2 linked regions of the Neurospora crassa OR74A genome follow. The protein of the gene in region 2 interacts with the protein of the main gene of each other region in a biochemical or structural test. Links are inferred from orthologs where the notes say so. Each region holds a gene or a part of one and is shown on either strand. Other genes may lie near its edges.

The links.
Region 1: the proteins of arp2 (region 2) and NCU10777 form a complex in vitro, tested with the Saccharomyces cerevisiae proteins (2 studies listed by BioGRID). The link is inferred for Neurospora crassa OR74A from reciprocal best matches to the Saccharomyces cerevisiae genes ARP2 and AIM7.

What each region holds. Positions count from the first base shown.
Region 1 is NC_026504.1:5,112,225-5,115,416, reverse strand, and holds NCU10777 (GMF family protein), read left to right. Parts: upstream 1-1,470; 5' UTR 1,471-1,613; coding exon 1,614-1,616; intron 1,617-1,752; coding exon 1,753-1,855; intron 1,856-1,948; coding exon 1,949-2,082; intron 2,083-2,200; coding exon 2,201-2,389; 3' UTR 2,390-2,651; downstream 2,652-3,192. Other genes in the region: NCU08824 (molybdopterin binding domain-containing protein), read right to left, coding at 1-1, 89-399, 464-558, 626-670, 727-735, 811-903; NCU08825 (cytosolic Fe-S cluster assembling factor nbp-35), read right to left, coding at 2,677-3,192. UniProt on the Saccharomyces cerevisiae protein: May be involved in mitochondrial organization and biogenesis.
Region 2 is NC_026505.1:6,357,544-6,361,227, forward strand, and holds arp2 (actin-6), read right to left. Parts: upstream 2,625-3,684; 5' UTR 2,422-2,624; coding exon 2,397-2,421; intron 2,173-2,396; coding exon 1,741-2,172; intron 1,679-1,740; coding exon 948-1,678; 3' UTR 565-947; downstream 1-564. Other genes in the region: stk-8 (serine/threonine-protein kinase prk1), read right to left, coding at 1-3; NCU07170 (hydantoin racemase), read left to right, coding at 3,424-3,534, 3,599-3,684. UniProt on the Saccharomyces cerevisiae protein: Functions as ATP-binding component of the Arp2/3 complex which is involved in regulation of actin polymerization and together with an activating nucleation-promoting factor (NPF) mediates the formation of branched actin networks.

The sequences.
Region 1 (3,192 bases), on a different chromosome or scaffold from region 2:
ACTGTGGAGCATTTCGTTAGCGTTCGCTTTCAATAATCTTCCTCGACACTGCTTCGATATTCCATGGGGATCGGAAAAGGAAACATACACAACCTAGGCACGCCCGGCAAGATGTGCACATTCCCATTAACCACCGCAACTGGCACCCAAAGTTCCTTGCAAGGAAAGAGGAACTGCTTCGCCAGGTCTCTGTTGACGTCTGTCGGTAGCTCCACCATACGGAGCTTTGCGGTGAGAACGGGCGAGGGCTCGTCCCAGTTGAACGGTGGCTCGCCCTTGCGAGGAACAGAAAGCTTCTTCATGAGTTTAAAAGCCTCTTCGTTCAGCTTGAGAGGCAAACCGAAGGCTTTGGCTATCGATTGGTAGGTAATGTCATCGTGGGTGGGGCCGATGCCTCCGCTATTGTTCAATGAGGTCAATGATGTGTCCTGGACACTCGAAGAAAACTCGGTGTTGGTAGTACCTGGTGACTACAAAGTCATAACGGTCACTCATACGGCGGACAGCCTCGACAATTTCATCTTCGTCGTCGGCGATGACTTCAATCCTCTTGAGATTCTGATATGGGGCATCTACAGTGAGCTTGGTTCTTCTCGGGACTTTAGAGTGGATGGCTGGAGCTCACGATTCCCAGGTTGAAGCACCATTTTGCCATGTAGTTGGAATTAGTCTGTAGTAAGTCAGCATTGGCGCGTCAGGGCAAAAATTTACGAGTTCTCGACTCACATCTTTGGTCTACACAACAACAGAGAACAGCTGTTAGTCTCATTTTCGGCTATCACCCTACTAGCACGTCTTGACTGGACCTGCCTTTCCACCCAAAACCTCATCACCGATAATCAAACACGCTGCTGTATGGATAGTCCGCGCATTGCGCTCATCTGCCGTGACTGTTGAACCCATAATGCTGTTGAAGAATGCTGTTGAAGTCCGGCGCGGAGCTGATGTTGATGGGGCAACAAATGACGTTATCGCTGGCCGTAACAAGTGCCGAGCAATCTGGGATAAACGAGAGAACATGAAGGTTTTAAGTCCAGGAGAAGTTTGTCTTGTAAGACAAAACAGATTTTTGAGGTTGAAATAACAGAAGAGAGGATTGAGAGGGAAGTCCACTGCAAGATCACAACCACAATGGGAATGAGATCGGGTCTCCGGCTTGTCTTGCCCGATGCGTGGTCGCGGCACTGGTGCCTGCCATCGCCGTCCATTAACATGATCCCCGCCCAGGGAAGGAGGCTAGGCGGCGCCTTCCCCGCTCCGTTTTAGCGGGTCAAGCTGTTAAGCTTCCGCGGGCTAATGGCCGGGACAGCCCCGCCATCAGTGAGGAATCGATAACAGCTTACGCTACGGGGCAGATACCTCAGCAGTTGAGCTGTGGACTTGGCAGTGATGCCATGCGGGGCCGACTTGCGTCCCTGGGACGGGAGCCTGGACGAGGGCGGTGTCTTGTACATGACAGCTCAATGCGACATCTTTTCGAGCTTCAACTCTTTTGCTACTATCCCAAAGCTTTGCGACATTGCCTGTTCCCCTTCGATTTCCCTCGCGACCACTTCCTTCTTCTTGCCGTCCGAATCTTGCGTGTTCGACCGACCCGAAAACAGCTCTTCACAATGGTGCGCCGCCGCTTTCCTACCTATCGCAACATCCGATCCATCCACACCACCAGCTCCTCTCTCCAGCTTCTAAGCTCTTGAAAGAAAGCAGCTTCTCGAGATTCTCAAGAACCATAGCTGATGCCGAAAATGCCAGGCCTCCGAAGCAAGACTCTACACTTTCTCCCAAGAAACCAAAGACCACCTGCGCAAGTTCCGCCTTGGGACTTCGCGCTCCAACGACCCCCAGGCCGTCATCTGTATGTATGTTCCCGTTATCCCCCCCCGGACCCTATCTCTGGCTATCGGTACAGCAGGTCAGAAAAAACTAATAGGTGTATCGCGCAAAACAGACCTGATCGATAAGACAACCAAAGAGATCAAGCAAGACGACGACAAAGTTGTATACAAGACCCTCGAGGAAATCGGCGATGACCTGCCCGATCACAGTCCGAGATTTGTGTTGTTGAGTTATCCCCTAACTCTTGTAAGCCGCCCTACTCGTCGCCCTGCTCGTCAAACATATATATCCACCTGGTCTTCTCGAAGAATGGCTGGGTGTAATGGAACAGATGAGAACTGCGACTGACAATGGCGTGGAACAGCCCTCCGGCCGACTATCGGTGCCCTACGTTATGCTCTACTACATGCCCTCGACATGCAACAGCGCAATGCGCATGTTGTACGCGGGTGCCAAGGAGCTGATGCGCAACACGAGCGAGGTGACTAAGATTATCGATATCGAGTCGCCGGAGGAGCTGGAAGAGATTCCGGCCAAGCTTGGGGCTGCTTAGACGTGTGGCAGTAAAGGGCGCCGAGCTGACAGCCTTATTATGGATGGACGGACGGGCACAAAGGTTGGTCTCCAGAGCGACCAACAGGGCCCGGCGTGAGCTTTCACACAGAGCTGGCAACTGGGACGAGGAACAAGCAAAGGGAGGCCATTTGGAATGGAAGGCAAAGTACAGCCAGATTCTGGATCATTCATGATCTTCTCGTTATATAAACGCCGTGATATCCCAGCCTTACAAAGCCAAAAAGCAGTCCCTGAACTCCGCCCATGCTATGGCCATTACTTCGCTCAAGCGTCATCCTCCTCCGGCATCACGACCTCCGGATCCAATCCCATCTCCGTCGCCAGCCCCTTGACCACCCCCTTCAAGGCCCTACACGCCGGGCTATCCGGGAAGCTATCAAAGAAGCTCTCGCCATAATCGCACGCCATGCCAATCCTCGGATCAAGCGGCACGCTCCCCAAAAACGCAATCCCCATCTCCTCCGCAAGCTTCCTCCCGCCACCTGTCGTTGCCTTAAAGATCTCGCTCTCGTGCGTGCACTTGGGGCACACAAACCCGCTCATATTCTCCACCAGTCCCAACACCTTGATCCCCGCCTTCCGGCAAAAATCAATCTCCTTCCTGACATCCAACAGGGACACTTCCTGCGGCGTGGTAACCATCACAGCGCCATCAATCCCGCTCTTTTTCAGGTACGTGTTCACGCTCAAGTGCTCATCCGACGTGCCGGGCGGCGTATCCACCAGCAGGAAGTCCAAATCGCCCCATTCCACATCCTTCAGAAACTGCTTGATCAGCCC
Region 2 (3,684 bases):
CATGGGGGGTGATTGTATGTTTATAAGAGTGAGGTTGGTGTATGCAAGGTAGTGACTTGGTAGTGAGAGGCTGGGCAGTCACCGCCCGTCTGTTTTGTGTTTGAAGATGCTCTCGGGAATTTGGAGAAAATAAACTATATAACCGGGCACAAGATACACACTGAAGGGATCATGCTGGGAGGGCTGGATGATGTTTTGAATGAAGGAATTGGATCAAGTTCATCGACTCACATTTCGGTTTCGGAGGCATGTCATCTGAGCCGTACCCGATCTGCACGGGCCCGGGGGGAAAACCACTGTGAGACTCGGGAATGGATGAGCGGAGACGGTGTGTTAGCGTGGCCGGTAGCTGGGCGATGGAAGCCGGGCTTGAGAGTTTGGAGAAATCGAGTAAAGATGGCCGGTGAGGATCTGGGAACACGACAGGTCTGGGGATTTTGACGACGAGCTGGATTGATATTGTTGTCGCAAAGGCAAGAACAAAGTGACACACGAAGGAAAACAATAACATCAATTACCCTTTTCGTCACCAGCGACATGTCAGGCTAGCAGAGATCTGATGATGTTTGCTTCTGTTAGTGTGTCAGCTCTGATAAGCCACTGTATCGCCGCCAGCCTTAGCGTACCGTATCGATGTCCAACAAGTGGGGGTGGACCATTTCACCTTTCCGTCTTCCCGATGTTTGTCCGGGACCGTCCCGTTCCGCTGTCCGCATCTTGCTTGATGTTGGCGCCGTTGTGATATTGGGGACTTCTTTCATGGTATCCCAAAAGACCATGACTCTTGACACAAGGCCATTGTTCGATTTCTCCTGTCGGGACCAACAAAATTACACCAGCCCAAGCAAGCTCTAACAAACTCTCGCATTATCCTTTATTTACCTACCAACGGAAAACATTATATCGCCTGCTATTGTAGTCTAAACAGCTTCACCCTCGGTAGTCCCTTACCTAGGACCCAACTTCTCCAACACCCTCGCGCCCTGTTCTTCCCACTCCTGCTTCGTAATCCACATGCTCTCCTTATCCGCCATGATATTCGCCAGCACCGCACCACCCAAGAAGACCATATGCCTTCTTCTCGGCGGGTCCTCGATCCTGACCTTGAACTTGCTCAGCCTCTCGGGGTTGCCTCCCAGCACGCGCGTCAACCACAGCTGCTTCAGTTCCTTCTCCAGTCTGCTTGGAAGGCCGGGGTACATGCTGGAACCACCCGACAGGACGATCGCCTTGAATAGCGAGGAGCGCACGTCAACATCGGCGGCCTGGATGGTGTTGAAGAGGAATTCGGCGATACCCGGCTGGTCGCAATCCACCAAGTGCGGCTGGAACAAGCACTCGGGGGCCTCGAACCGCTCGGAGCCGACGCGGATGACGCGGCCGTCGGGAAGGGTGTAGCTCTCGACGAGGACGGTGGTATCTTCGGACAGGCGCTTGTCGAGCTCGAGGTCGTACGAGACGTAGCAGAGCTTTTCCTTGATCTGGCGGACGGTCTCGAAGTCGGCAGTACGGTTGAGGGCGTAGCCGCGGCGGAGAAGGAGGGCGATCAGGTTGCGGGTGACGTCGCGGCCGGCCACATCGAGGCGGCGGGTAAGGTGGTTGAGGACCACGGATTCGTAGACAGGAACGATATGCGTGACACCGTCGCCCGAGTCGACTACGACACCAGAGGAGAGACCTGCGCGTTGTCTGTCAGCTACTTGTTTCCTCAAGTCGCCGTGTAAAGGAGCGGTGACATACCCTGAGCATACAATGCCAGCACCGCCTGGATAGCGACATAGACACCCCCAAAGTCGTAGCGCTCAAACATGACTTCGGTCATCTGCTCCCTGTTCTTCAACGGGTTCAAAGGCGGCTCCGTCAACAAGATCTTTCTTCCCCGCGTATCGACCTTCATCTTCTCGTGAAAAGTGTAGTCCCATAGGTGCTGCATGTCGTCCCACTTCTTGACGATGCCGTTCTCCATCGGGTAGCTGATTTGGAGCATGGTACGGGCGGCCGCGGCCTCGTCACCGCACATGATGTCTTTGATCACAATGTCGGAGGAGTCGGAAAGCGATTTGGCTTCTTCGGCGCGGAGAATGGGGCGGCCGACTATCGAGGGGTATTGGAATTCGGGGAAATTCTGGGCGGCGTAGCCGACCTTGAGGAAGCCGGTACCGCCATCGAGGACTGTGTTCGAGGGGGGAAGTGTTAGCTGGGCGCTGTGCTCATTTTGTTGTTGTGAAGTGGAAGTGATTGAGGACGGAGTCCGACGGCTACAGCTGCCATGGCGACGGTGATGACGCGGTCAGGCAGATGGGTGGGTGGTGGTGGTGTTGGTGGTCGTCAAGGTAGCTTGAGCTCGAGACACCAGATGGATAAGGGGTTGTTGGCGGAGAGAAGAGCTGACGTACCAATGGGAGCGTCGGTGTTGGCCATGCTGGGCGGCTGTTTGGTTTGGTAACTTTCAATGGAGTTGCGAATAGCTTCGTCGGGGTTTCGAATATCGAGTGTATATCGGAGCTAGAATGGAAAGCTCCCGCGGGTGAATCAACAGGAACCAAGTGTCGGTGGTCCCGTCGGTCGGTCGGTGCAGTGGTGTCGGTGCCCTGTCCGGGTTACGGTAGCGAAGTGGACTACGGCACCGTAATTAGCTGGAGTCCAGCGCGGTAGCCTAGCTGGGGGGGTAGCATCGATATGTGGGGTCATTCGCTAACTGCCAAGCTTTCCTTCAAACAGGGCGCCGCTCGTCTGAGCCAAAATAAAGGAGACGAGCGAGCAGGCTAGGTAAACCAGTTCACTAGACGTCAAGATCATAGAAAAGACCGCTGCAAGACCGTGACAGGGAATATAACAATTCAAAAAGACCTCAGCTAGAGCCCTATTTACACATTTTCATTCTGTAATTGCCTAGAACTTGAGAGTCAGCAGTATACCCAAGGAGCCAAGGTATCATGTCAAAGGTCTCGATTATTTTGACCAGGACGAGCGCCGATGACAAGCGGGTCTTGGCAGGATTCTGGACCCCAAGGAAGTGGCAGGCATTAGGGTACCCACGTGATACCCCGCATGAGACTCGCACTTGTACCTTCAGTAGTACATGCACCTTGTTGGGCATCGTGAGAGATCAGACGGGATGGATTGTGCATTTGAGAGTGGAGATTGATATTGGTTCTTCCCGTCCCTTCTTTTTTTGATTCTTCATTTGTGGTTATCAGACCCTTTGTTGCCTTATTCTTTCTCACTCAGGCCGTCGATACAATCGGTATTTTACCAACTCATTACGATACTAGTAGGTTGTTCCCATTCAGGTTCTACCATCGTCAATCTTTCAAACTGAGTACTTCATGATACCTCCCAAAATGGACTCAGACCTGACTATTTCCCTCTCAGACCATTTATCGATTCACCTCACTCACTCACCCCCCTTCCTTCGTCAACATGACTACCGCCCAGCAAGAACCAATCAGGATCCTGATCCTCAACCCCAACTCCTCCAAGTCCATGACCGATGGCATGGCAAAGTCTATTTCCAGCCTAAACCTCCCCGACGTCTGTCTTCCCTTCTCTCCTCCACCCCTAATAACCGAAAACGTGGACTAACACCCCCCTCCAGAACATCAAAATCACCTACTACACAGCCCCTACCTCTTGTCCAGCCAGCATCAACAACGGCACCGACCTGGATACCTCCGCCACCCA